Linked DNA regions of Lonchura striata. The main gene of each other region encodes a partner of the protein of the gene in region 4 in a complex. Links are inferred from orthologs where the notes say so. Each region holds a gene or a part of one and is shown on either strand. Other genes may lie near its edges.

Evidence for each region.
Region 1: CCNC (region 4) and MED21 share a complex: the UniProt entries of both Homo sapiens proteins name them as parts of the mediator complex. The link is inferred for Lonchura striata from reciprocal best matches to the Homo sapiens genes CCNC and MED21.
Region 2: CCNC (region 4) and MED23 share a complex: the UniProt entries of both Homo sapiens proteins name them as parts of the mediator complex. The link is inferred for Lonchura striata from reciprocal best matches to the Homo sapiens genes CCNC and MED23.
Region 3: CCNC (region 4) and MED8 share a complex: the UniProt entries of both Homo sapiens proteins name them as parts of the mediator complex. The link is inferred for Lonchura striata from reciprocal best matches to the Homo sapiens genes CCNC and MED8.

What each region holds. Positions count from the first base shown.
Region 1 is NC_134607.1:1,479,531-1,487,164, forward strand, and holds the start of MED21 (mediator of RNA polymerase II transcription subunit 21), read left to right. Parts: upstream 1-4,621; 5' UTR 4,622-4,665; coding exon 4,666-4,707; intron 4,708-4,918; coding exon 4,919-5,033; intron 5,034-5,692; coding exon 5,693-5,793; intron 5,794-7,634. Other genes in the region: TM7SF3 (transmembrane 7 superfamily member 3), read right to left, coding at 3,621-3,690. UniProt on the Homo sapiens protein: Component of the Mediator complex, a coactivator involved in the regulated transcription of nearly all RNA polymerase II-dependent genes.
Region 2 is NC_134605.1:59,766,921-59,774,558, forward strand, and holds the start of MED23 (mediator of RNA polymerase II transcription subunit 23), read left to right. Parts: upstream 1-4,622; 5' UTR 4,623-4,708; coding exon 4,709-4,768; intron 4,769-7,521; coding exon 7,522-7,553; intron 7,554-7,638. UniProt on the Homo sapiens protein: Required for transcriptional activation subsequent to the assembly of the pre-initiation complex. Component of the Mediator complex, a coactivator involved in the regulated transcription of nearly all RNA polymerase II-dependent genes.
Region 3 is NC_134611.1:15,037,752-15,045,234, reverse strand, and holds the start of MED8 (mediator of RNA polymerase II transcription subunit 8), read right to left. Parts: upstream 3,018-7,483; 5' UTR 2,982-3,017; coding exon 2,976-2,981; intron 2,634-2,975; exon of another isoform or gene 2,525-2,633; coding exon of another isoform or gene 2,522-2,524; intron 192-2,521; coding exon 73-191; intron 1-72. Other genes in the region: KICSTOR complex protein SZT2, read left to right, coding at 3,064-3,093, 3,298-3,423, 3,580-3,753, 4,100-4,270, 6,101-6,232. UniProt on the Homo sapiens protein: Component of the Mediator complex, a coactivator involved in the regulated transcription of nearly all RNA polymerase II-dependent genes.
Region 4 is NC_134605.1:73,824,990-73,831,938, forward strand, and holds the start of CCNC (cyclin-C), read left to right. Parts: upstream 1-3,944; 5' UTR 3,945-4,025; coding exon 4,026-4,057; intron 4,058-4,960; coding exon 4,961-5,067; intron 5,068-6,949. UniProt on the Homo sapiens protein: Component of the Mediator complex, a coactivator involved in regulated gene transcription of nearly all RNA polymerase II-dependent genes.

The DNA.
Region 1 (7,634 bases), on a different chromosome or scaffold from region 4:
ACTAATTGATTAAATTAACCAACTCACAATTCACCAGGCCTATTCCTATCACCAGTTCTCTGGTTCTAATACCAGACAGGTATTAGACTCCCTGAGCCACAGAGAGCTCAGTCTTGTCAAACATCCTTTGAAAGGCACAGAGACCTCAACAACCACATAGTGCTGGTCACAGCATGCAATCTTCTCCTTTGGGCAAGCTTGACCTGCCCAGAGGTGGCCCACCAGACAGGTCTGCAGGACCAGCAGCACAGTTAACTCCACCTCACAAGTGAGAGAGTTGATTCAGCAAGTCAGCAACAAAGATGGGAGCAAAATCCAGGCATCCCAACTTGTTTTATTGCTTCCAATGGTGAAGGCCTGGACACGCTCTAAAGGTGTCAGGCTATGCTCTCTTCCTTGCCCTATAGGAAGGACTGTAACAGTCACTACACATCAGAGTAATTTTGGGTTAGATACATGAGAGGAACCCAAACTGCTACAGAGCTTATCAAATGAACAGATGCTGAAAGGAAGTCAGCATTGCTGAAACCAAGCAGCAGCAGAGTGGAGAGGGAGCACTGAGCATGTATTACTCCATAAACAGCACCAGGGCTGTAGCACAGATAGCCCTGCACACAGAACTGGTGAACACAGCAAACAGCCCACTCTGTCATCCCACAGTATCTCTTCTCCCACATGAAGGGCAAAACCGGTAAAGACAAGAAACAGAACCTCCTGGAACTCTTCTGAGATCAAAAGTCCTTATTCCTAACTCTAAACAACAAGACAAACAACTCCAGAGCCTCTGCACTTGTTATCCCTTCCCTGTGACACGCTTTCTCCAACAGGCTACACCCAGCTTCAACTGTTTCCATTGTGCTGATTCAGTGCCAAGCTCTTGGCTCCTCTGATGCTTTGAGAAAACCACATTTCCAGCTCCAATAGCCAAGTGTCACTCCCTACCACCACAGAGCAGTTAACCACACAGGGTTCTTGATTACAACCAGCAGTCCAATTTCCAGTAAGAAAAACAACTGAAGAAATGCCCCTGCTGCCCATACAGCCATGCTCAAACATTATCCTTCTCTCAAAGAGGTTCTGTGCAGTCAGAGAAAACACATTTCTACTGGGTGTCAAGCACCTTGCAGTGGATATGCAGAATAACCTGATGTAAGCAAGCTCCAGGAGCCAAGGAGAACTTTCCAGTGCAGGGAGTACAAGTAGTCACATGAAGACATTTAATGAAGATGAAATGCAAGCTCAGACTGACAACCAGTTTGAGTAAGAAAAACATTAGCATACAGTTACTTAACAGAATAAAGCCTGGAGCCATATCCTATCAGACCTGTAAGGCCATGCAGACACAGATAATGGGAGAGTCTGGCTACAGGGTCTGTCTTCCCACACTACTGAGCCCCCCTCCCCCCCAAAAAAAATACAGCACCTACCCTATTCCCAAAAGAAGCAGAAACATTTCTGAAAGCTTCTAAACTTTGATTGTGTGTGTACTGAAACTCATGTTTAGAACAGCTTGATACTTAAAGCAGATGACACCACAGAATGTGACTTGCCACCATCTGCACCATTCCCATCCCAGAGGACTATTCTGTTCACCAGGCTAGAGGTGTTTTACCGCCTGAAAAGTGAGGGAAGAGATTTGTGTGAACATCTTATTGTAAAGTATCATCTCTGCATAGACTAAACAAGTTTCACCCAGATAAGCTCCCTTTACAAAAGCACCCCTCAGTCCTGATTACACTATAAATTCACTTTAGTTTTTCCAAAACTAAACAGCCCACTTTGGATGTAGCAAACACGGCCAGCTGAACTCCTCCTCAGGAAGACAGAACTCCCTGGAAGGCAACAATCAGTGCAGAAAACACTTCTGCACAAAGACTAAGTTTGAGGGGCCGCAGCCCATCAGAAGCCCAGAGAGGTTACACAGGCCATCATGCAAAGATTTTACTGATCAGCACTTTTAAAATGAAGCAGGAGCTTCAAGAAATAGGAGTTAGCAGAGCCCATCCCTGAAAAGTGGGTGCCCACAACTGAATAACCACAAGACAATTTCAAATCAGTGAACCATTAAGCAAGTGGCCTTTTTTAAAGGCCCTAATGATCAGCTAGACTCTGGTACACAAATTACACAGCTTATTAGCTTTTCACAAGGGAAATACTTTCCTCCCCTCCACCCTCATTCGTGCAAGGAAAAACAGCAACAGGTTCCTCCAAGGCAAAGCAGTTTGCTTAGTCTCATAGTTGCTTTGCCTTTTTACATAATGTAGAAAAATTACTCAACACATGACCCAATTTCATCAAGTCTAGGAGACAAACTGCTTGTTAGCATCCTTTAAGTTATCTTAAGGACATTAAGGTCTAAGAAAGCAGAGCTTTTATTCTCACACCTGCTTGTGACCATCAGGTGCCCAGCCAAAGCTTTTAGGTCCTGCAAGAAACAGGGAATATTTGGCTCTCCATTAGGATCTTGGGCATGAGACTTGGGCAGAGAGAAGCCTTCCACACCTGAGACTGATTCCAAATGCTGTCCTGCAGCCCTGCAAAGTATCCAAAGAGTCTCCTTTGGACAATTAAGCTTCATTCATTCAAGGCCAGGTTGGGTGGGGCGTTGAGCAACCTGGTCTAGTGGAAAGTGAACCTGCTCATGGCAGGGGGGTTGAAACGAGATGAGGTCCCAAACCATTCTATGAGTCCATGGTTAGAAGCAGTACAAAACTAAAGCAACTAAAAGGAGGAGGCTTATATCAGCCCTGATAAGAAGGACTGCTTGCTTATCTTTGAATTATCTCTGAGAGGAAACTGTTTATTTTTTCCTTTATTTGAACAGATAAGAGTTTAACCAGAAAAAGAAAAAAAAAAAAAGAAGTGACTGTAAATCTTCCTGAACTATACTTATTATAGCACACTTAACTCTGGACTCCTATTTTAGTCACATGCAGGAACACAGGGAAATTACAAAAAAAGCCCATGCCAAATAAAGTCAGATTACATCAGTACGGACAGAAAGTAAGTTTAGGAACCAAGCTGCAAATTCCAAATTCTAGGTTTTACCCCTTTCCCTAGTTTTATAGCAATAGTGGTTTTCAACCCACCATCCACTAGGGTGGTGAGAACCCATGAACACCTGCACATGGTCGGGGGATAAAGGCAAGCAAACCAACCCAAATCGCCTTTTAGCTATGTCAACTCACGTTCACGAGTGGCCAATGCCACCTCGTTTCTGTGCGAGGAATACAGCCCTACACCATCCGCATCACCTGCTCCGCACCCCCGCGGCCAAAATCATTCTGAATTATCCATGAAACAGTTACAATTATGGCATTTACGGCAATTAAGACGTTTAAAAAAAAAAAAAAAAAAAGCGGATAGGGAGGGAAAGGGGATAAAAAAAGAGGGTGGCTCTCCTTGTCCGCATGAAAGATGCAGACAAGCAGGAACACACACGGCGCTTCTGCAGCGCCGCGGGGAGCTCTGCCCCGCGCTCCTGCGGAGGGCAGGTGGCGGCGGGGACAGCCCCGAAGGCTCCGCGGCGGCAGCGAGCCCGCGCCGCCGGCCGCGACCGGGCACGGCCCCGCAGCCCCCGGCCCGAGCCGCGCTCCTCCGCCCCGCTCCGCCGCCCTCACCTGAGGCTCCGCCGTGCCGCAGGACCCCCGCGAGCAGCAGGAGCAGCGCCGGGCGAGCCCAGCCCCACATGGCGCTGCGGAGGGAGCGCGCAGAGCGGCTGAGGCCGGGACAGGCCGGGCGCGGCGCGGCGCGGCGCGGGGCGGGGCGGGGCGGGCGCCGGGGGCGGGCGGCAGGCGGGGCCGCTCCGGCCCGGCCGGGGCGGGCGGAGGGGAGGCGTTTGGCCGCGGTGGCTAAAAATCCTGAAAGTGCGCGGTGGGGTTTGGATCGGCAGTGTGGGGTTTGGGGTTTGACTTCAGAGCGTGAGCAGAGCCCAGATCGTCACCCATCCGTGCCGTCGGGAAAACACTTTGGGCGGATTGTTTGTGTCGTTGCTGCACCCGCAGCATCAGTGACAAGGCTACAGAGTGGTTATTTCCAAAGGCGTGTTGTGACAGGGTAAGAGAAATGGCTTCAAAATGAGGTCTAGACTGGATATTAGAAGGTATTCTTCCCTATGAGAGTAGCACAGGGAAGCTATGACTGTCCCATGCCTGGCAGTGTCCAAGGGCAGGTTGGATGGGGCTGGGAACAACCTGGGATAGTGGAAAGTGTCCCTTTAGGAAGAGATGCTCTCTAAGGAGAAGGCTGGCATTGTACCCAGCTGTCAGAGGTAAGAAAGATGGGCACAAACCGACTGGCACGAATGGCATTTATTCTCCAACCCCCGGGCTCGGGGGCCGGGTGCTGGCTCTGATTTGGCTCGTTGGGAGCATTACACTCTGGCTGTTCCCTGCTCACATCGGGGCTGGAGCGGAGCACCCGAGCGCTGCTGCAGCCTTCAGCTGGGCTCAGAGCGGCTGCCGCACAGCAGAAGCCGTGGCAGTACCCGAATGGCGTAGCTTTGAAAAGACCTCTGCGGTCAGCGGGCGCAGCCGTGCCGGGCGGCGCCGGGCGCCAAGCCCCGCCTTCCCCCGGACGCCCCGAGGGGCGCCGGCCGCCCGTTCCTCCCGGCCGCCAGGCGGCGCGCGCGCCCCGCGCCTCAGGGGCGGCGGCGGCGGCGCGGCCATGGCGGACCGGCTGACCCAGCTGCAGGACGCCGTCAACTCGGTACGGCGGGGCCGCCGCCTCCGCGCTCCCGGGGCCGCGGGGAACGCCGCGGGCTCTGCGGGGATGCGGCTCCCCGCCCCGGGCGGGGGCACGGCGGCGGGTGTGGGGTGCGCGGCCTGCGCGTGGCCGGGGTGCCGCGCGGTGAGGCGGGGCGGCCGCAGCGGCGGGGCAGGGCGAGGAGCCAATTAACCGCGTTAATTGGTGCCGGCAGCTCGCGGACCAGTTCTGCAACGCCATCGGAGTGCTGCAGCAGTGCGGCCCGCCGGCCTCCTTCAGCAACATCCAGACGGCCATCAACAAGGACCAGGGCGTCAACCCCACGGAGGGTGAGTGCGGCTGCCCGCGTCGCCTGCGCGCTTCGGGAGTGCAAAGCCCCTCGGCGAACAGCTCCCCCGCAGCTGCGGGAGGGCTGGGGATACCTCGGGGTGGTGTCGGCTGCGCTTTCTGCGTAGCAGTGTTGGCGTTCAGGAACACGCATCATCACGGGGGATGGTTATCTGCAGGTGCTTTTATTGAGAGCCCTGGGAATCAGCGGTACAGACTCAAATCTGACTCCGACATGGCTTTCGAGCTACACGTCTTTTATATTCTATCCTTATATAACTTACATATTAATTATTAAACTTATATTGACTTTATTCAACCATGAGTTTCTCGTGATCTTTGTTATGCCCCTGACTACAGTTTCTCATGATTATTCTTACGATTAAACAGTAATTATATTTAATTACTAAACAATCATCACATCTAACAACTATATAATTTATCACGTACTAGCTACACAGGTGCAGTTCTAGCAAGGTACAAGACCTTCATGTACCTAGGGTACTTATTTTTTTCAGGGCCTACTAAAATTAATTTTCTTTTTAACCCTAAATCCCCATGATTTTAAAACCCTTTTACTATCAACAGTGTGGCAGCAGAGTTGTGCTTGTTTCTAAAAATTCCCCGAGTGATTGGCTGAGTTGTGCTGTGTTTTGTGCAGAGTACGCCCAGCTGTTCGCAGCTCTGATCGCTCGCACCGCCAAGGATATCGATGTTCTCATAGATTCCCTGCCCAGTGAAGAATCCACAGCAGCTTTGCAGGTAGGAGTTTTCATAATTCTGACATCAGGATGCTCCTGAAGGCAAACTTCCTTCTTTTTTTTTCTTTTTTAACACGTTTTTTCATCTCTAAGCCATGTCACCATTGAAAAATGATTTTAGTACAAACCTGAATTTTTTACAAGGGCAGCCTAAGCGTGCTTTGTAGGCTTAGTGGAAATAGTGACCTTGCATCTAGTTCCAAATAAGGTTATAATCAATGACAATATTTTAGACTTAGTTTTCTGTTAAAATGTAAAAAAAAAGATGGTTTTTCACACCACCACTGCACTGGAAACTGCTCACCTTTTTTTTCAGATGTTAACAGAACAGATATAACAGTACTGATGCTCTGTGCATTGTTTTATTCGTTTTTTCCCCTTGGGTTATATTTCATATTTTCTCACATTTCATTCTGTAGCTGCAGAACTAATGCTACAGAAGTCTTTTGTTCTGCCACATTGTTTCTGGTTAAAGAGCTTGCGGGGTGTCCTTTAGGTTCTTCAGCTCTGTCACAAAATAACTCCATCACTTTTCGATAACAAGGATTCTTCCTTTGAGCCAATCAAACTTGTTTTGGGTTTTTTTTCCCTATTTTTTCGTAGATTTTACCTGTTAAAACCATCCTTTTTTTTTTATTATTTTTCTTTGTGACTCTTAATGGCTGGATTTACATCAAGTGTTTTCTCTTTGGAATGCATAAAGGATGCTGAGTGCTGTTTCTCTGACAAACCTGATGATCACCTTTAAGACCACCTAAAAGTTTTAAACTTGCATTGGTAGTTTGTAACTGTTTAAAAGTGTTTTACAGAAGATTGACACTGAATAAGCCAAAGAGAAGAGACATGGCAGTGGCATCACGTTTGTTTTAAACAGAGGAGGTTAAATTTGGGAACTTCGCTAGTCGCAGTAATTGCTAAACATCAAAATTGGGCTCATTAACACTGGCATAATTTCCTGTAAGTGCATTTTTAATAGCTGAAGATAGAATGCCTGCTGCAGACAAATTCCAGTTTGTTCCATGACTGAGCAGAGTCTGATCAAAGTGGCAGCTGGTGTGGGTAAAGCAGGGTGCTCCAGAAGGAGGAGCTGGTTATCCAGTAAGGATATGCTTTCCTTAGAGGTGATACTTCAACAGTTTCTTGCTGTCTTAATGAAGAACTTCATGTCACAAAAATTTCAGATCCTTTCTATATGTTATGGTTTTAAGATAAATTAGCTTGGATTCCATCACTTGGATTCCAGTTTTGATTTTTATTTTCTGTTGCTTAATTTGGTGCAGTATTAAATATTCTGATAGTCTTCAAAGAAATGGTTTTAAGGATGCTTGAAACACTCTCAAATATGCACTATAGGTTTAGTTGAGAAGTGGTAGATAATACTCGTTTAATACAAATCTGCTTTTTTTATACTAAAGTTGTCTTGGTGTATGTTTCAGATCTGAGTCTTGTCGTAAATTACAAAAGGAGCTGCTACACAAATGCTCAACACAATTTACCTGCCCCTTGTGAAGCTGACAGTACAAATTCTGCTCTAATCTGTGGATTAGCTGCAGTCAACTATTAAACAAGAGAACATTTTTCTTTTTAGGGAGAACCAGTTCTCTCATCATCCTTCAGTAGCAAAGTCACTTCAGGATTCTGTTGAAGATCCTTGCTTTTCCCTGTTGCCCAACATCAAAAGAGGAAACTCTTGCAACGGTGTTAAAATAGTAAAATAAAAAGCAGGCCTTTATTGGAAGCTTCCAGGTGTCCCAATGATCTTGGTCACACCCAGCATCAGATTTCTACAATTTTATGAGTTTAACAAACTAGCATATCTAATAAATATTGTCCAATTAGAAG
Region 2 (7,638 bases), about 14 Mb from region 4:
GAAAACCTGTGAGTTGAGACAAAGACAGTTTAATAGGTAAAGCAAAGCCACTCACATAAAGCAAAGTCACTTCATGGCCACTTCACATCAGCAGGCAGGTGTTCAGCCACTTTCAGGAATGCAGAGTTCTACCACATGTCATGATTACTTGGAGAGGCAGACACTATTATTCTGGCCATTTCCTATGCCTTTTTTTTTTTTTTTTTTTTTTTTTTTTTTTTTTTTTTTCTCCAAAGTTTTATCGCTGAGCACAGCATCATATGGTGTGGAATATCAGTTTGGCCAGCTGGGGTCTGATGTCCCAGCTGTGCCCCCTCCAGCCTCTTGTGCATTCCACACTACTCAGAGAGGAGGCTCTCAGTCTGTTTAAGAACTGCTCAGCAACAGCTAAAATGAACAGAATGTGATCCCATATACCTGATTTTGCTACTTTTACCCAATCATTGCTCTAACTTGACATACTATACTGTCTTCATGATGATTTACAATATTCTAGAACATTTTTCACCAATAAAATTCAATTATTAAACTTGATAACTATTAATCAAGAACCCAAACTTTTCTGTTTCAAGATCAACAGCCTCATATGTTAAAAATACTTATTTTCATCCCTACCAAAAGAAAATTCACATTAAAAAAATCAAACAATCCATATGATCAATACATAAGACTAAAAAAACCAATAAGGAAGAAGGACATAATTATCCTTTCTGCTCTCTATTACTAAATCATAACTCTGAGTGACTGTTCTGCATACAGACTGACACAATACCAATGCAGGGTGAGGGTATAAAAAAACCTATTCCCCCATAGTTACACTGCAGTCCTCAGTTCATCTGATACTTTCAGGAAGAAGAAGGTGTTTTCAAAGAACGCAGGCAGGACATCTCTGACATATACATGTTAACAAGCATGTCAGGAAACTGGGGAGGATAATTTCTGAATAACGCTGTGTTGTAGACACTTTCAATATTCACTGCTAAGAAGCTAAAAGTCCTCCAGGGCCATGAAGAGCCAGAAAGACCCTATACACCATACATTCTAAGATATCTTTGTACTCATTTGTCATTTGTCTTCTAAAATGAATAGCACTCAGGAAAAAAACATTTCAAAGTTTAAACATTTTTCTCATAAATGTCATTAAAATGGTCATTTTGATGAAGGTGGTTTTGCTAGAGTAATAGTATTTACAAATAATTTTGAAAAGTGCATTTCTTTTTCTGTGTCTGGGTGAAGAGAGTAATTTCATCCTCACCTCTTCTGCCTTGTTTGGTAAAATGTGTGGCTCTGTTACTCAGTACAGGCAGGGTCTCATAATGGTTCATGCCTTGGCAGATGGACCCAGGTGCAGTCGCTCCAGGGTTAATGGCAGTACGGTTTCTCCCCCTGGATCCTTGGCTCCCTCAGGCAAAGCAGGAAGATCTTTGCTTAGGCCTGACCTGCCCCAGCACCCCTTGCTCCCAGTTCCATCCCAATGAGATTCTCTGCTAAACTCTGACTGAGATAAATTCATCAGGTCCTCAAGTGTGCCCATCCCCATACACACACCCCTCTCCTTTACAATTGTGTCCCATGGGAAATATGATTTGTCCTAAAATAAGAAAACCAAGTGAGAATGGTGCTAAGATAAGAACGGACAGTGATCATTCCAGGAGGAACAGTATGGATATTCCACAAAGACAAATTTCAGAGACAGGGAGGTGTAATGATTTCGACTGACTTGGGCACACATCAGCCTGCAAAAGTGTTTAAACTACTGCTGGAGACTGGGCCAACTGGGCAGACTGGTCTCCCAGGCAGCAGGCAGCTTCCAGGCAGATCCCCCTGTCCTGGAAGGGATGCCTGCAGGGTACATTCAGCCTAAAGATGAGGAACACTCACTTTTGGGCAGGTGAATAAAAGCACCAAAACCCAGTCAGGTAAAGAGATAAAATCCTAAAGCATCTCCACAGGTGCTTTGCCATTGTGAATTCTGTAAGGCCAAAGACTGTAAATCTGTATATTTCCAGCTGGTTATAATATAAGCCGGTTATAGTGCATTTATATATTATTACATGTTTATATTGTATACTAATATATTATAATGTATACTAAATATTGCTTTGGCAATATTTAGACACTGTATTAGCAATAAATCTAATCATAACCATCTACATAATGTGTCATACTCTTTGCGCCTGACCAAGAGCCTTCTTTCTACTACTTTTCTACACAAAGGTAGGATCATAGGTAGCTCAGTTTTGTTAAAATGAGATCTGGTTAGACAAGATGTTAATTCAGGACAGAAATCACCATTTGAACCTCTTTGGGGGTTCAAGACCATTACATGGTTTCAGTTTTAAAATTCAAAATATGGTATAGTATTTGGGGCAAGTTGTAAACCAGGACCCTAACTAGGATTAGACCAAGTCTGTCTACTAAATATTACCATCTAGATTTAGGCTTACATGCTAAGTTCTATTTGGAATGTATGCTGGCTAGTGACTTAAAATCAAGGTAAAGTTGTATTAGGCAACTAATTTCCAGTCCTCTTATGAGTCACTGTGAGAATGGATTAGGAGGTTGGCACAAAATTTGAGTAGACACTTATACCCTGTGCATTGTCATTTTAATAATATATAAGGTAGTCTGTCCTGAATGGACAAATACTGACACTGGGTCTTGATGGGCATTTCAGATTGTTGTGCAACACTCTTTAAATAAATACACAATGAAGAGTACAAAGAACAATTCTTACAGAATAAATAACTTCACGTTAAGACCGAGGGCAGCCCAATTCTAAGAGCAAGACAAGCAAGCACAAGCAGACCTTCAATTGCATCCCCTCTGTTTTCAATGATCATCTGTTACGTACATTTAGTTAAATAATACACATGTAAGCATTATTTCTTTCCTAACCACTGCTGAAAAGAAAGCACTGACTTCAAAGCATCCTGTGCCTGTTGTCTACAAAACACATCTCTTCTAGCTGTGCAAGCACGGATGCCACACGTATCACTGTCCTCTGTTGTACTTCTTAAATTTACTTATAACATTTCTCATTGTTTATGTCATGTATTCTTCCAGGCCTATTTACACAAAAGCTGTTTACATTTAAAACAAATAATTGTCTATCCAATTCCATGTGAGTGTTTCCCCCACTCTGCTATTTTCCACTCAGCTCCAAGCCTGAAAACGTTAATTTTTCACTGCTCTGAGGCCTCTGGTTATCACCTTGATAGTTGATCAGACAGGGAGTTGATCAGCTTTATTTTTCTGTACAAGACGTAAGTTTGTACCTGTTTACCAGTACCAGCTGCATGTTTGCAGCTTAACATCCACAGACAGCTCAGAAAATAAAGTGTCAGCATCAAACACACACAAAATTTTAGCACTGTCTTGATTCAGCATTTTACATTTCTTTCTAGTATAAAAACATCTGCATATATATACACATATAAATATAATGCTCTCTATCAGATAGGAGGCTGTGCAGAGGTGTAGGTCAGCCACATCTCCCAGGTAGCAAGCTATAGGACAAAAGGAAATGGCCTCAAATAGCAACAGGGGAGGTTAGATTGGATATTGGGAAAAAATTCATCACTGAAAGGGTATTTAGGCATTTGAACAGACTGCTCGGGGAAGTGGTGGAATCACCATCCCTGGAAGTGTTGAAAAAATGTGTAGATGTAGCCCTTGGGGACATGATTTGGAGATCGGCTTGGCAGTCGAATTTGACATTCTTAGAGGTCTTTTCACAACTTAATGATCCCAAGATTCTAATGTAATACTCTTGTACTCATTTTTAAATGTAATACTATTGCATTTTACTGTGTCCAGCTCTGCCGAGAGCAACATGGAGCTGCTGGAGTGGCTCCAGTGGAGGCCTAAGAGGATGACTGGGGGACTGGAGCACTGCTCTTATGACGAGAAGCTGAGGGAGCCTCTTCAGCTTCGAGATAACTGGGAGGGGAACTCATCAGTGTCTATCAGTATGCGAAAGGAAGATGCCGGGATGGAGTTAGGCTCTTCTCAGTGGTGCCAAGCAACAGGACAAGAGACAACTGGCAGAAACTGATGCACATCCTGCAGAACATGAGGAAGAACTTCACTGTGCAGGTGATCAAGCACCAGAATAGATTGACCGGAGAGGCTGTCAAGAACTACCCGGATACAGTTTTGTGCCACGTGCTCTGGGATGACCCTGCTTCAGCAGGGAGGATGGAGCCGATGATCCACTGCGATTCCTTCCAACCCGACCCATCCTGCAGTGCTCTGATTCTGTTCTCCTGGATGTCTTTAGATAAACGCATTTTCAGATTGTTCTATGATTCACAGTAATTACACCAAACTGGGCTCAAGTAGAAACAGGGAGAGAAGCGGCTGGAGATCAGTCCTGCAGAGAGAGATCTCATAATAATGAGATCCTTACACCCTAATGCGGCTCCTTGCCGTAAGAACCAGAGCAGCATTTCGCCTAAATATTCCCCCCCCAAAAAAAAATTATTCAAATAAAATATTATACAAAAACCAAAGAAGCCTAAGCGAATATTTTTGCAAAAAGAAAAACAAAACCAAGACTTAAGACGCCGTCGCTTTCCCCACGTTGCCCGGAACGGCGGGGCCGAGCAGCGGCTTCCCGGGGAGCGGGATCGGGGCGCAGCTTCCGGCGGGAGGAGCGGCGGGAGGAGCGGCGGCGCCGGACCACGGCCCGGGGCCCGCCGGCCCCATGGCGATCCCCATGGTGCCCATGGAGACGCAGCTGCAGAGCATCTTCGAGGAGGTGGTGGTGAGTCCGTCCCCGGAGCGCCGCCGCTGCCGGGGCCGCCTCCGGGTCCCCGCGGCCCGCAGTGCTCCCTCTGGGGTGGGGAGCACCGAAGGAGATGAAAAGCCAGGTGGGAGAGGTGCTTTTGGTTTTCCTGGCGCTGTCGGTGCGGTGCAGCCCCGCCGCCGACCCCGGCCGTGTTTGCTGCTCCCGGCGGCGGCGGGGCCTTGGGCTTTGTAGGAAGGCTGGGACAGAGGACCGGCCGTAAAACAGCTTGCGTAGCCAGTACCGAATCACAGAGCGCTGAATTTGCTGTAAAATAAGCAGTCTAAAGAGTTCTGCAGGAGCCTAGGAGAAGATGGATGTCCCGAGTAGGCGAGACAGCATAATGGCATGATCGGATTGTGGGAATGCACACGCACAATGCTGCCTGCAAAACGAAGCACAGTTAACCCAAATGCTCCCTCCATTTTCCATACGACATTCTTTCCAGCATTCTACCCAGCTTTGCTGCCTGCCCATGGATGCATTCAAGGCCCCAGAACTGCTCACAGAACTCGAGGTGTGGCCATACCAAAGCTGAGTGCAGCAGGATAATCACCTCTTTTGTGTGAATGTTGAATGGGTTTGATGCATCCCAGGATGGGATTTGCCCTCCTGGCTGCTTGGGCTCTCCCTGCTGGCTCACACTGAGCTGCTGCTGAGCAGCACTCCCAGATCCATTTCTGCAGGGCTGGTCTCCAGCCGCTCCTGTCCCAGTTTATACTTGTGCCCAGCAGTTAACTCTTGTGCCCAGAGTACTTGTTTGTACTCTGTCCCAGGTACAGACTCTGGCATTTGCTAAATTTGATGGCACTGATTGCTCAGTGCGCCAGTCTATCCACATCCTTTTTTAAGGCCTCTCATCCCTCAAGAGAGTCAACAGCACCTGCCAGTTTAGTATCATCAGGAGGTTTGCTAATGGTGCATTTACCTCCTGCTGCATTTACCTCCTGCACCATTATATAAATATACTGAACTCTAGGAGCCCAGCGGAACACCACTGGTGACCCATCACCAGCCAGATGCAGCCCCACTGACTGCACCCCTTTGATCTCTGCCCTCCTGCCACTTCTTCACCCAGCACATTCTGAAGCTGTTTATCCCACAGTTCAACAGCTTGTCCAGAAGGATGCTATGAGGGGTAGTATTAAAAGCATTATCCAGAAAAAGTACTTCCACTGCCTTTTCTTTGTCCTCTTTAGGTGGAGAGGACAAATATCTGTCTATCATTACCTTATAAAAGATATTAAATTAGTTAAAGATATTAAATTAGTTGAACAGGACTTTCCCTTTGTGAAGCCAGGTCAGTGGGTTATTAATCACACTTGTGTGGAGCACAAATGAATGAGCTTCTTGGTAGATAGGAGACATTCACAGTTGGAAACACTGGGGTGACAGGAGCTGATCCTGAATGGGAGCCTGACTGACATTTCAGACAAAAAATAAGCTGATTCAAATGTCTGAAGTGGAAAGAATCTGTAGATTTCAGAGAAAGTGAAAATTATTTCCATGTGATGAATTTCAGTAGAGGAAAGAAAAGCCTAACCATTCTGTTTTAAGCTGGCATTATAAAATGCATGATGTACTTTTCTTTATGTGGTGTTAAGTTGCTTGTAGCATATCAATTGCCTACATGTGACTGATTCCTCATTTTGGCCATTCAGATTATTTTCACATTTTTAATGTTGTCATTTGCCTGTGTTGTCACGCTACCTGGTTTTATGTACTGTTATTTGTCTAAGATTCATAAGGAACAACAACAAAATAGTTCCTGAGAAAATTTCCCTGTATTTTTAGAGCCATAACTGATAAAATAGCAACTTACTGCTTTCCCTGCTGCTGGTACGGACTTGGTGGTCAGCATCAAACTTTACCTTGCTTTCTGTGCAGATCACATGAGTGTCAGCTTCTCCTTTGCTTCTTGAGTAGCAGTGGCAGACAATTCTGAGCCAAATGATGGAAAAGGAACACCAGCAAGTTGATTTTGTTACATGTTTCTGTGTCTGTAATGTAACAATGAAAACACATAATATCAGTGATAGATCACACCTGAGTATAATATGAAATTCTTACAAAAAGTAGGAAAGGCTTTAGGATAATATTTTCCAGAACCTATTTGCTGAAGTTCTAGAATAATGATGTAGAAGCCTTTGAGCAAAATGAAGTTGAAAAAGAGGGGGAGGGGGTAAAGGAAGGTCTTATTGAATATTCATATTTGGTTTTTTTATCTAGTACAAGACCATTACATTATTCAGTCGAATTTAAAAAGCAGTGGATCTAAATTTGGATGGGAAAGTAATTGTATTTAATTGATTTGTGTAACTGAATGTCATGAACATAAGAAGGGCAAAAACTTAATGGAATTCAAAAATGCTAATTTTTCAAATGATGAGAAGACAGCTGTAATAAGACAATCAACTTCTCCAGCTTTGGGAAGTGAATTGATCTCTAGATGTTTAGAAGACCAAAAAAAAACAAAAAACCACAAAAAACAAAACACAAAAACCAAAAAAAAACCAACCCAAAACAAAGAAACAAAGCCTTCATCTGGATCCACAACTTTTATATGTCTGTGTGAAAACAAAACAGTCTCATCTTTGGAATAGCAGAAGACACCTATCATTCTCTGGTACAGACCCATAACAATTGACTTTGTCTTTTGTGCTTCATCCTGTGGCCATGATTGTCATAGAAAACCTTCTAACATTAGCTCACTTGGGGTTTTTCTCTTACAGAAAACAGAAGTAATTGAAGAAGCTTTTCCTGGGTAAGTGTAATACTGTTTTATTTGTGAAGGTTTTGTGTGTAAATGCATTTTTCTACTTGTTTCACTGGGTACTGCTAATAACTAA
Region 3 (7,483 bases), on a different chromosome or scaffold from region 4:
TTAAATGTATTGACAAGAAGATAATCTCCTGTCTGAAGAGCTTGGGCAGTGATCAACAGTGAGACACTTTACCATGTAAGGCGGTCATACTCATTCTCCAGCTTGTAGATAAAACTGACCAAGGAATTCTTCAGGTCGGCCACCTGACTGATGAGTGCCTCCAGGGTCAGTTCCAGCTGCTTCTCCTCTCTCTAAAAAAAGGCAAGACAGACAAGGGAGGAGGACAAAAATGTTGTGAATTCACGCCCATGCATCCATGATCCAATCTGTCCTACAGACAGCCTCCTCTTCAAAGGAAGCAGGGGCACTGGAGATAAAAATCCTACTATTTCACACTGACCGCTTTCCCTAGGGTCAGACTACTTAGGCAAGAGACTTGTGCCTGAGAGGAACGCTTGGCCAGCTGTCCTGTTAAAGATTTAGGTGAGTGAAGACATCATCACTTACACCACATCAAGCAAAGTCATCAAAACTAGCTCATGCCACCTTTGTAAACCACTTAAGCTAACCCAGAACAAAGAAGATTAGCATTCCCTCAGCCTTTTCTAAAGCAGCTGTGGGTGCTGTGATGTCTTTATCCAAAACAGTCTTTGCAAAATGAGTACCATGGACCCTGGACTAATAAAGTTTCTGCCAATCTTTACTTTCTTTCTGCCCATGTGACACTTCCAGCTGCCAAGGAAACTGGCAGCTCCTCCTGGCCTTGTGCCCCGTGGGCTGTGGGAGGCCCTGCCGTAACACAGACTGGCACTGTACCCACACACACACTTTAATCCTGCCTTTTGCTGGGATTACATTGTTTTAAGAAATCTTCCCCACTGACATCCCCTTCCGGGTGAGGGAGGATGGTGACAGACAAAGTGTCAAGACTGGGGATGTGTTGCCAAAGACATCAAGGCATGCCCTTGATTCTTGCAAAATCCCTCTAAACTCTTATCTACTCTAACTTACTCATACTACAGTATTGTGCAAAACATAATTAAAGTTCCAGCCCTAAGGAACTGCTCGAGTAAGTAGAGAACTGTACAATAATCCAAGAGGAGGGTGGGACAAAGCAATCAAATAATAGAAAGGGAATACCGATTGGGAAAGCAGATAGAGTGACTCACACTGTTGGCATGCTTGCTATTGGAATTGTTATTGTTCCGTTCAAATACACTGGCCCAATGTCAGCTTCATGGAGAGATTATCAGGCACCTTCCATGTTCACGAGAACACATTATTCTATTTTATTTGTACTCTGACAAGTTGGTAATCACTGATGGGACTTCATTTCACTTTAACCACCTTAGAACAGCTGAATCAACCTTAGTAAAATTTGATCCCCAGTCCAAGGAGTGGACTCATGGAACAGATTGCTGCTGGTTGTTCCACCTAGAGATAAAAGCACACACACATGTTGTGACGGGACTAGTCAGTTCCTGTCCAATTAAGAAATGTGCCTGCAACAGTTTGTGTGCAGTGTTTGTGCAAGGAGGTTAACTACTGCCTGCATTACAAGCTGGGCTGGTAGCCAGCGTTTTACTGCAGAGGTGCCAGGCATATGCACCCACAGCAATTCCCCTGGCCCCCCACCTGTGCTTATCCAAGAAGCCTTCAAGAGGATGAATAAACCCCATTGCACAAGGAGCACTCTCATGGCAGCAGAGCACTCCAACCCTCCTTCCCTAGGCTCTTCCCAAAGCCATCAGGATCTGGAAGCAGATGCAAGCAGTGCAAGATAAACACAGTAAGACTGACCCCTCCAAGAGGACACTTTGAGGAGTTTGTTAGCAATGTTAAATTGGCCTGAGGTAGTAAAGATAGGGCTTATGGTAAGGGTTCTGAAGGACCTCCTGATACTGAGCAACTGAGAGGGAAAGGTGAAATTCAGAGTAGGTAAAGGTAAAACAATGCAGACATCAAAACAAAGGAGAAAAAAAATCCTGACTGGCTAAACAAAGGGGAAAAAAACCCCATGACTTTCTGTACACAATGACATTATCTGAGCTGATAAGGTTGTAACTCAAAAAGATTTCAGGGTTATCTGAGGGTAACCCATGAAAACATCATCCCAATCCTGGAAAAGCAGTCAAAGAAGTAAAAGTGACTACAGGAGTTATTAGGACAGCTACGGAAACTAAGCATCATTATGTCACCATATAAATGGTGCACCTCCTTTGCATCTCGAATATAACATGTCACTCTTGTCCCCCGAACTGAAAAGGAATAGAGTAGGAATATGATAAAAGCAATGAGGATGGTGAAGAATATTCATAGTTAAAAAAGTAAACAACAAAACATACAACAAACCACCACAACCCAAAAAAACCCAAACAAACAAACAACCCAGTGAAAAAGACTGGCATGACGAAGTGGCTGAAACAAGGAGAGCCGATGTAACAAACCCTATAAACAAGGAACAGCGGGACAATCTGTTTTCACTTTCTTTTCCAGCGGGACAAGCAGATCTGTATGAGGCCAGCGGGCTACGCTTTCAAGCAAACCAAAGGAGGTGGATCTTTACAGCCTGCTAACCTACCATTAATGCTCTTTTCTTTGGACAATAAGGATGCTACAAATTCACAGCTCTTAATAAAGTAACGAGGTTCTCCTCGATCAGCGGCATTCCGTCCAAGCGGGAGCGGGGCGCTCAGCCGCGCACCCTCTCACCCCACAGCCCGCGGCAGCGAGGGGCACGGCGGAGCGGCAGCGAGGGGCACGGCGGAGCGGCAGCGAGGGGCAGCAAGGGGCACGGCGGAGGGGCAGCGAGGGGCACGGCGGAGCGGCAGCGAGGGGCACGGCGGAGCGGCAGCGAGGGGCACGGCGGAGCGACGGCGGAGCGGCAGCAAGGGGCACGGCACATGGCACAGCGCAGCGTCGCCGCGGCTGCTCGGGACGCGCTCGGCCGCCCGGCCGGGCTGCCGCAGCCCCGGGCGGGCGCGGCCCCGCGGAGCGCCCGGCCCCGCTCCCCGGCCCCGCTCCCCGGCCCTCACCTGCATGGCGGCGGCGGCGGCGATGGCGGCGGCGGCCCCGCCCCGCTGTCCCGGGAGAGCCGCGCTTCCGGGGCGGGCCCGCAGCGACATGGCGGCGGCCGAGCGGCCCGACGGGGAGGTGGGTGCGGGCCGCGGGAGCGGGGCTGGGGAGCCGAGCCGAGCCGAGCCGAGCCGAGCCGAGCCGAGCCGAGCCGAGCCGAGCGCGCAGGGGACGCGGCCGCCGTGGGCAGCGCGGGCCCGGAGCAGCCCGGGGTGAGCGGCGGCGCGGGCGCTGGCCGGGGCTGCTCCGGGGCTGACCCGCGCCGCTGTGCTCCCGCCGCAGGTGGAGGAGGCAGGGCACGTGTTCCTCCTGATGAAGAAGGACTATCGCATCTCCCGCAACGTGCGGCTCGCCTGGGTCCTCAGCCGCCTGCACCAGGTCATCCGGGCCGTGCCCGAGCCCGAGCTGGTGAGTTGGTGCTCGGGGCTGCATGGTGTCACCGCTGGTGCTGCGCCGCTCAGCAGCGCCTGCACCCTGCAGAGCATTTGAGCCCCTTTCTCTTCTTTGCTTCTTCCTTTGGTGTGGCTTGATGTTCTCGTATGTGCCGTTTGCTTGTTCTGGCAGGTGAAGTCAGAAAACGAGCTCGATGTTCTCAGCATCCTGCCCAATGGGTGGCAGCCAGACGAGCCGGTCCAGCCCAGGCCCTACCTCCTGGTCCCCTCTACACGGGTCACCTTCCTGGCCCGTCAGTACCGATTTGTGATTGAGCTTGATCTGAGCCCTTCCACGGGGATTGTGGTAAGAGCAGAAACTGCCTCTCTCTGGGGTGTTCTGCATTAAAACAGAAACCCATTTGTATTTACTGAGGAAAGGTTTATTGCTCTCGGTGTCAGTCTGAGCTTTTATAGAAGTCTTGTTTTTCCCGGGAGGGAACCATACTGTGCCCCTGCATGGGGATTTAATGGCAAATCCTGTTTCTCCATTGGATGCTTAATGTGTGACTTCTGTTCACAGGAGTTGTCACTATAATCCAGCTGCCGTTGCAGAAGGATGTTTGCTGTTGGCTCTGCACAGTGGGACACCCAACAGTGAAATTGAGGGTCCTAGGAGATGAAAAAGCTGTTCCCTTTCTCTCTTTCTGTAGGATGACTCAACGGGGGAGATAATTTTTGATGAAGTGTTTCATGCCCTTTCCCGATGCTTGGTGGGATTGTTAAGACCCTTTCGTATCCCTGGTTCAGACATTATCTACCAGCCAGAAATCTTTGTCACCATCCAGGTGTATTCCTCCATCATTGGCCTGCAGTCCCACCAGGTAAAGCTCAGGCTCTCCCTTGGCGCGGCGTGAGCAGCTCGCTGTGCTGTGCGGGTGTCCTGGGAGCACAAGGAAAGCGGGGAGGTGGCAGCTGGGCTCTGCTGCCTGTTATGCTGCAGGCTTGTCTCACTAAAACATGTGGCCTGGCATGATGCAGAAGTGTGTGTGAGCAACTTCTCCTTCCTGGGCAGGAAGCAGAGGTTTGTGTGGAGAATGCTGCCCTCAGGCATGATCTTAGAATTGGACCACAGGGAATATTTGCCTCATGTCGAATGTGTGCTTATTGTTGTTCTTGTTTTGTTGTTTGGGAGTTGTTTTTGTCTTTAATTTCTGTTGATTAATTATTTTTGCCTGTTTTAATTAGCTTGAAGCATTCAAGAAGAGCTTGTATGACCAAAAGCTTGTCTCCCTGTTCCAACTCTGTAGCAGTGGTTAATGCAAAAGTAGTTGTCTCTTCCTACAAACCTTATTTTTGCACTGATCTGAATATGCTGCTTCTTGCTGGAGGGAACAGCCAGCCCCAGTATTGAGATTTATCAGTGAGATTTTATTTGTGTCGTGACAGGTCTGTGTAATAAATTCAAGTCTGATTTATGGGGCCAGTGTTATTTTCGAAGTTCATCTTTGATCTCTTCTACCTTACAGTATTTTCACATAACTTATGTGTTTATGGTCGTGTATTTCATCCCTTTGCTAATACCAGGGGAAGTGCTTGGTAACAGGAGGAGCCTATAAGTCTATGCTTGTTCCCTCTCTCCCCTTCCCCAGCCCTCCCTGCCTAAGCCTTCTGCCAGGGTTTCTGTTGTACATGAGGAGTGTGGCCATCACTTTGATCTGTTCTGAGGTGTTGCTGGAGTAAGTGTAGCAGGAATTTCTCCATTTGCCATTGATGTATTATGTGTCATCTTGGCCTGCAGACCATCATGCTGTGCTTCAGTATCTCCCCTATTTACACTATATTGAGCACTCTGAAGTTGCTAGATTTTTCTTCTTTGGACCTCCCTAAATTCCCACTTTGTATATGAGGCCATGAACTGTGATCTCTGGGAACAGCTGGATAATTATTCTTTTATGGAGGAAAAGGTGTATTGTGTGTATCACTTATCCAGGAAAGACTTTCTGTGGTAATCATTTATTTCTCCTGTGCCACTGTGAGGTCTTGCCCATATGAGGCTGAGGAATGTGGATAACATGCAGCACCCCACCAATCTGCTGAGGGCTTTGTCTGCATGTTGTATCTTCTTTGTCTCTGGTTGTGGACAGGGACTGAGGGATTGCCTGTACCAGGGTGGCATCTGTAAACACAGGTGTCATGCCTGTCACCCTGGGGAGTTGCTGTGGTGGCAGGCTTCCTCTGTAAGCCACTCTAATGTAATGTCCACTCTAATTGCTTCTTTTCTTTATTTCAATTTACTGTTCCCCTTGGAAGATAATTTAATCAGTCTATAGGTAAGGTAGATTAGAAGAAGCAGGCCTTCCGTAGAAGCATCAGACTACAGTTCATGGTTTCTAACAATGATCCCACATCACTTTCTCCTAATAACTGTTTATCCTGGAGAAAGTCAAATGAAGTAGAAGTTTCTTGCCCAAGAAGGAGATTTCCTAAAGTGTCATGTAGGTGTCTGCTGTGGGATGCACGGCAATTGCCATGAGGTACCACTGCTCACACGCAGTTATTTTTGAGCAGGAACAGAGAGAAGTGGCCTGTGCTGTACCTGTGCTTTGTCAGGGATGTGTTTGACCTTTACTGTGCAGCACTGTGTTCACCATCTTGAGGGCTGGTGCTGTAAAATATTGACTTGGTGACTGACACGTGTGTCTTTGGGCCAGGTACTATTCCAGGGCTGTCAGCTGGATGAGACGAAGCGTGAGGCCTTTCTGCACCAAGTTTACACACAGCTCTGTGCCTTTGAAAACAAAGTGGCAGAGATGCTTCAGCAACAATATGAACCCAAACCACAGGTAAGGAGTGCAGAGGTAACTGGGCTCTCTTGGCTTCCTGGAGATGTGCACTCTGAGGCCCCGCTGAAGTGTGGTGGCAAGAGGAAAAGCAGCAGAGGTCTGCAGAAGGAACAGCTAAGGAGTTGGTGAGATAATGTTGTGGGATCCAGTAATGAGACATGAACACTGAGGAAGCAGAACTATTAAGTGTTGAGAAGGACTGGTGAGGATGGTTACCTCCCCCAAAGTTAATGTGTACTAAGACAGCCTGGCTGTATGTTATAGGAGAAATGGTAGGATGTGCTTTCTCTCTGAAGAAGGTGGTGGGAGAGGTGATTATGTCCATATAATTAATCTATAAATAGCTGTGAATATGCCCTTGTTACATTTCTTGAATAAAAATACTTATTTTTTACCATGAAAACTGGCCATGAAGCTGAATAAACAGCCACTTTTTTCATGAACTCCTTGAAATCTATGACAGATGCTGCTTAATAGCCATGGCTATATGTATCAGCAAATTAATGATAGAGTCCTAGTATGGTGTGGGTTGGAGGGGACATTTAAAGATCACCTCCCTTGACCTGCTGGCCATGCTGCTTTTGATCTTGCAGTCAAAGTCATTGCTGGTCTGGCTAAGGTTATTTAGTCCTTAGTTAGCAGTAGTTATTAGAGTTCGGGCAAAAAGGAAAAAAAAAGTCCCAGAATCAGATGACCAAGAGGCTATTGGTGATGTATTGCAGTTGCATATCTGAAGTGCTTGGAATCTCATATTCTAGCAGAAATTTGTATGTTTCAATGCTAAACTGCTGGTCCTGAAACAGGAAGTAGATTGCCGGAAGTAAATAACTCAACCGGTGAGTCCAGATGGTGTTTTTGCAGAGCTTTGTATACATTCCTGCTTGATGCAATATTTCTCTCATGGTAAATTACCCTGTAACTTCTTCCATGCAAATGGAGGAGAGAGACGCTCTCGCAGGCCAGAGGGACTGGCGAGTCCTGCCACAGGCTGTGGGGTGGAGGTGGAGGCCCCAGGGGAAGGGCAGGGACTGAAACATTTTTCACTTTTGAAGTTGCACTTGCTGCATCATTGTTAAAAAGTATCTGAATTAAAGGCATCTGGCAAATTAAAGTGACGGACAGTCAATATTTTTCGCTCACAGGCACGGAGTGCTCCCATTTGTGCATAGCAAAAGTTTAGTTAGTTCTAGTTTTGTTTTACAAGCTTCAATCATCTGTAGCTTTGAGGGAGGAGGGGGAGGGGTCTCAGCT
Region 4 (6,949 bases):
CTGTCACATTACCTAACTTAGTGAAATCATAACAAAGGCTTTCATTAGAAGTGACATAACATAAGCTGGAAGGGGTTTTCAATTCCACTTACACTTCTTTTCCCTGTTCCTTCCCTGAAATGTCTCACATTCTCAGCATGTTTTGTGGAAGCTTGATTAAAGTCAGTAAATCTGGTTTTGTACCACTCATTCATTTCCTGAGGGGATATTAAACAGCGGAGGGCAAACAAGAATGCTTATTGTCAGATCTGTGAAAAGATATGTACTGTTTTCAGTTATTAGATGAATATGTAAACATGTGAAAAACCTGAGACTATCTGCAAATACTGTTTTTGTGTGCATTCAAGGGAAAGAGATAAAGAAAATATTGTATTTCCAATTGTGGGGGAGAACCCATGAACAAAAAACTGATCATGTATCATCCTATTTATAAGATGTGGATTGGAAGAAGCATTTTTATGGGGAAAAAAATTTATCCAACTATCCTGCATATATTTATATCTAGCAATGGACTACTAAGTATATTCAATATGTTTGTGATGGTTTTTATTAGGGGGGCAGAGGGGGAAGAGATCAGCAAGAGCTGACAGATAATTTCATCTCACAAATATGACAAAGTATAATTTTACCTGCAGGTTCTTGGCTGCGATTTTTTCATCCTATATCTGGATGTCCCTCAGAGCAGCAGCCAGGTCTGAGGCTGAGCAAGGAGACATCTGCACACACAGCAGCACAGAACATCTGTTTCATGAGATCTTTGTTTGCTTGTTTTGACACACAGACACAGAGGACATGGTAAATAAAGCGATCCTCCACACAGCTCCTGGAAAGGAAAGGTTCAAAAGCAATGTCAAGGGGAAAAAGCTCTGTCCTGTCTTCCCCCTGACATGCCCCTGCCCAAGGAAGCATCTCCCAGCTGGGCCTCCAGGGAGATGGAGTCATAGGGGCATCCACACATGGCCATCAGCACCCCTGCAATTTGGGCCCACACCAGCTGCAGGCCTTGTGGCCTGGCAATTGGCATTCCCAGCATGGCTCAGTCTAGAGGACCCTTTGCCTTTTTGCTCAAGGGATGCTGCAGGGCTGACAATGACCCCCCGCCCCAAGCACTGGGAGCCCCCTGGGCGCCATTCTGCAGGGAGGATCTCCAGCATAGCAGGGTGTCCCCTTGTAGGGCACTGGAGGAACTCCAGCATGGCAGAGTGTCCCACTGCAGAGCAATGTGTACCCCAAGGAGTCTTTGTTTCTCTCTGGTTTTGGGTCTGTGGAGCAGGGAGAGTTTCCCTCTCCATAGCTCTGGTACTGGTGTGGTCTGCTGCAGTGCTGTGAAATGGGGTCATGCAATGTGAGGTCTGTCCTGCTGGGAAAGAGGCAGTCTGGGAGTGGATCTGGCATGAATCTGTGGTGCCAAGTACTCCCATTCCAGCAGTATTAGACAGCCCCTGTGGTGCCAGATGCAGGGCAAGCAGAGCTGTTTCCCACACCTAGTGTGCAGTGCAGCAATGGCATTTATCATAGCTATGGTAAATATCCTGCCCAGTCCCTACTAATATTCTGCCATACTGAAGTGTAAAATCATAGAATTGTTGAAATTGGAAAAGACCTTTCAGATCATCAAGTTAACCCAGCACTGCCAAGTCCACTATTAAACCATGTCCCCAAGTGCCACATCCCCATATCTTTTAAGCACCTTGATGGGTAGTAAGTCCACCACTTCCCTGAGAAGCCTGTTCCAACAATTGACAACCCTTTTGGTAAAGAAAGTTTATCTACAACTTCCCCAGTGCAACTTGAGACCATTTCTTCTTGTTCTATCTCTTGTTGCTGGGAGAAGAAACTGACATCACCTTTCTACAACCTCCTTTCAGGGAAGTTGTAGAGTGATAAGGTCTTCCCTAAGCCTCCTTTTGTCCTGGCTAAACAACCCCAGTTCCCTCAGCTGTTCCTCATAAGATCTGTGCTCTAGACCCTTCACCAGCTCTGTTGCTCTTCTTTGGATAAATTGCAGCACCTCAGGGTCCCAGAACTTGGCACAGTACTTGGGGCACACCCTCTCCAGTGCTGAGTACAAGGGGATCATCACTGCCCTGGTCCTGCTGGTCACGCTGTTTCTGATGTAGGCCAGGATGCCATTGGCCTTCTTGGCCACCTGGGCACACAGCTGTCTCATATTCATCCAGCTGTTGACTGTGCAGAAGCCCAGATCACCACCCAGGGAACAAAACACAGGTACTAAATCAGAGCAAGAAAAAGGCCAGGGTCAGGTAGAGAAAGATGGTGAAAAAAAAAAGAGATGCTCACTTGATGTGATAACCAGAAGCATGAGGTTTGCTGTTATTTTAGTTGCTCTTGTATGTTCAGCGAGGCAATGACAAGCTCCTGTGTTATACAGCAGCCTCTGTCTCTCTCTCTGCTAATTCCTTGGTGCTTGTGCTGTGGGTGGCTGTAATCCAGGGCATTTGCTGGCAATTTGGTTCACCTCTTTGTGACATTGACACAGCAGAGTAAGTTCCTTTTCCCATACCTTGCAAAGTCCGGATATTTTTTGGAGAAAGGTGTCAGGTCAGAGAGCCCCCACAGAATCCCCACAAACCCAGCCTGTGTTTTCAGTCACGTCTCCTTGCACTGAGAAAGGAAAGCTAAAGGGTATGCAAAATGTTTTTTCTCTACCTCCCTCCTCCACATTCCTATGTATAAACAGGGTCTCAAACCTAGAGTCTGTCTGGTGGGTCAGAACAGTGTCTCATTCTGCCAGCAAAGGCATTTAGAAACACCACTGGCTCCATCTGTCCTGCTTCCAGGCAGGACAGGTTTAATTTCTGCTGCAGCCACGAGGGCCAGGGCCAGTACCTAGAGGTTATTCTATTCCACCTCGTGTCATTTTCCAAGGACAGAGCGGGAAAAAGACTCACTTGCAGGCTGGGATAGCACTGCAGAGGGAGCAGCTGGGCATTGATGGGGGTTTCCATAGGGTGAGCGACAACTTTTTGTTTTCTTGTAATTAGTGTTGTTGCTGTTACTGTTAATTTATCTCATTGCTGTTTCCAGTAAGTTGTTCTTCTTTCAGTCCATGATTTTTACCTTTTATGCCTCCAGCTCTGCTCTCCAGCCACCCACAGCTGGGGGGGGGCAAGAGGACAGGGAAGTCATGGCAGGTCTGGAGTAGCTTCAGTGTGAACTCAACATTTGAGAATATAATTTCTAAACCATGACACCAATTTACTCTGTGCATCTTCCCTCTCTGCTTCATAGTTCCTGAATAGAACCTAAATTTCCCTTTAACTTATCCGTTCCCAAGTTTTCAAGTGCATGGCATTGATACATCTCAGATCCCACTAAGAAGCTGAGAGCCACGACAGGAAAGAGCATGGAAGGAAAGCAGGCCCATGCACTTCCTGTTTGCAGTTTAAATTTAGAATTATTAAGTAAATACCTCTAGAGGCTCTCTCCGATGAGGAAAATTCCAGCATGGAGCAAGCTGAGCCGTGAAGGTAAGTAGAAGGGAAATTTAGGTGAGGTGGAGATAGCACAAGACAAGTAAGCTTTGGATCTTCCTGGCTGCTTACAGCAGAGAGAGAGAAGCAGCCAGCTTTGCACGGACAGAGGTTTGAAATGGATATAGGGATACAATTCTTTCCATGGGAAGGTGGTGAGGCACTGAACAGGTTGCCCAGAGCAGCTGCGGCTGCCCCATCCCTGGCAGTGCTGAAGGCCGTGTCGGACGGTGCGCCAAGCAACCTGTCCCAGCGGAAGGCGTCCGTGCACACGGCGGGGGCTGGCCCGGGTTTGGATGGGCCCCCTTCCCGGCCCATCCCGCTCCGTGTCCCGGTGCCAGGAGCGGGGCGGCGGGGCCGGCGGGGCGGGCGGAACCCGCGCGCGGGGGAACGGTTCCCGGAGCCGCGCGTTGCCGGCCGGCGGCGGCGCCGCCTCCTCCTTCCTGCTGCCGGCGCGGGGGCGGCGGCGCTGTGGCGGCGGGGCCGGGGCATCGCGGGCCCGGGCGCCTCCTCCCCGCTCCGCTCCTTCCCATGGCCGGCAACTTCTGGCAGAGCTCTCACTAGTGGGTGCCGCGGCCGCGGGGCGCGGGACACGGGTGCTGCGAGCCGCCGCCGCGCTCTGTCCATTCATTGCCGGGCCGGGCGGCGGGCACGGCGCCGAGGGGAGGCCCGGGAGCGCCGGGCGGGCGGCGGGGCCTGCTCGCCGCGGGACTCGGGCGGGAGCCGGGCTGGGGGCGGGAGCGGCCCCGCTCCGCCGCCGCTCGGGCAGCGCTGGGGCACTCCGGGACAGGGGCCGCGTCCCGGGGTGAGTGCCCGCGCCGCCCCGGGCTCCAGCGGCGGATCGCGGGAGATTGGGTTCCCGGCGCTGGGCAGCCGGGCCTCGGCTGGGGCTGGGCGTTAGGAAGCGTGATTGATAGTGGAACGGGCTGCCCGGGGAGACGGTGGAGTCACCGTCCCTGGAGGTGTTTAAGGAAAGACTGGACGTGGCACTCTATCCCGTGGTGTAGTTGACAGGGTGGTGTTCTGTCATGGGTTGGACTCGATCTCGGAGGTCTTTTCCAACCTGATTGATTCTGTGATTCTGCCCTAAAACACCTCGTGCTGAGCGCGTCAAGGTTTGAATGGTGCCCATAATGAAATGGCTGCAGCATAAACCTTGTTAATGACTGTCAGAGTCTAAAGTCTGTACAGCCAGCTCAGTTTGCTACTGGTAGAGGCTAATTACTCAGCCCCTGGTATTTCATGTTTTGTTGTTTGGGGTTTTTTTTGTTTGTTTGTTTGTTTGTTGTTGGGGTTTTTTTTTCAGTTGTCTTTCGAAAACCCTGACTAGCAGTTGCTTGGGAAGATTGTTTGTGGCTTTGTTAAAGGCCACAAGCCCTTTATCCCTGAGCCTTGATCTGTTTGTATAGGAGACACTTGGTATGATGTTGATAAAGAATTGCTGAAATTATTTTCCATCCCTCTAGCTTACAATGGATTTTGGATAAACAAGATTTATTGAAAGAACGCCAGAAAGACTTGAAATTTCTGACTGAAGAAGAATATTGGAAGCTACAGATATTTTTTACTAATGGTAAAGCTTTTTTTATTTCTGCCATAAAATCTGTGCAATGTGTGCCATGTCTAAATGGAGGTTTGAATTGCTTAGAGAATGTAATGTTTTCATTGTTGTATTGCATATACTTCCACAGCCTATTTTAACAGAGACGTGGAATATAAATAATATCTTAGTTATACTTACATAATTCGAGGAGACCTTGCAGGCTAATTAGCTGCATATATAACATTTTAACCTGTGATAGGACGAAATGGTAAAATTTCTTATTTTCAAGAGGTTCTTATCAAAATATAAAATGAGGAGAGGCAAGCAGAAACTGCTAAGCTAGTGTATTAAAGGCTCAATGTCAAGCATTAGGACTCACTCGGGGCTTTTGGTGGGTTCTTAGGGTAGGGTAAGTATTTTAGGTGATCTGTGCTGTCCTGTTAAACAGCAGAGTTTGGAAACTTGTTAGTTGTGTTCACTTAGATTCTCTGGAACCTGCAACACAGCTTGTATTTTGTCTTCTGACTGATTTCCCAGTACCAGGTGGCTCTCAAATTGTCAGCAAGTTTCTGAGAGCTGTTGCCAGGCAGCCTGTTCTCCCAAAGAATTTGGGACTTGTGTGTGAAGTTGTCTAAGATTTACTTGATCTTGCAAAGCATTTAGCTATCCATATGAATGGCCACACCTGAGTATGTCAGATTACAAAGGCACTTAAAATTTTCTCTGTGGAATTGTTCGATATTTTAAAAAATCTCCTTATGCAAAGGATATTGCTAACTAGTAATTTGTTTGCAAACAGCTCTTCATTGATTTTTGTAGGAGTCCTTTAAAGTACAGAATGCTTATTTTTTTCAGTTGTCTGGCCAGACTTGAGACAGAGAAGTGAAGTGACTTTCCCAGAGCCACTGGAAGATCTTATGTCAGTGGTGGAATGGTATCTGTGAAAGATACCATTGCTTCCCTCTTAGCTTAGTTATTTTTGTAACAATTGCATATGCTATAAACATGATCACTATGGATACCTCTGTGTTACTGCTTACAGGGCATCAGGAAATCAAGCTAGCAATGATTTACCCATTTGATCCATTCCTGAAATATCTTGAGGTTAAAACTAAGTGTCATAATAACTTCATAATGGAGGGTTATGGATATTTCTAAAACTGTATTTCTATGCTGATTTTCGCTAGTATTAATTTGAACTGTGAAATATGCTTTTTAAATGTTTCACTTCATTGTTTTTATTGAATGAACAAAGCTTTACAAAGTAAACAAGTTAGTTTGTTAGTTTTGTTTTGTGGTTCCCAGGGTCTTTTTCCTTGGCACTCCGTGCCTCCCCTGAAGGTAGGTGAGTGACTGGGGGTAGCTGGAGAGCAGCTTTGCCAGCATCTCCCCTGTGCCTGTACAGACACAGCCTACTCTGCAGGAGTGAGTGGTGCTGGGCTTTCTCCCATTCTCTAGCAAAGAAGGCAGGACAGTGCAGGACAGAGGGCAGGGGTGCTCTGTGCTTGGCCAGAGCTCGAAGTGTTCAAGCCCTCAGCATGCTGTATCCTCGACTGCCTCTGAATAGAGACCCTGCTTTGGGTCCCCCCTTGTCTCCCATCTGCACTACCTGAGAGCAGATGAGGCTCAGCCCCAGCATGTCACATTTAGTGTATGTCAGCCCAAGAGATGGTTGTGCCCTAAAGCAATTTAAAATCTGCATGGAGAGGGGCAATTTCCTGCTGCTTCCTCATTGGAAAACAAGTGCAGTAGATCACTGACTGATTATATGGCTCCCTGCAGCTATGAAGAGAAGGAAAAATATCATCTTCTAAAGTAGTTTGAAAAAAAACCCTGATGTTGATTTCTGTGTTTGGATCACCAAGCCTTAACTGATTTTGGTTGAGAAGTGTATTAGTTGTTTTCCCTTTTT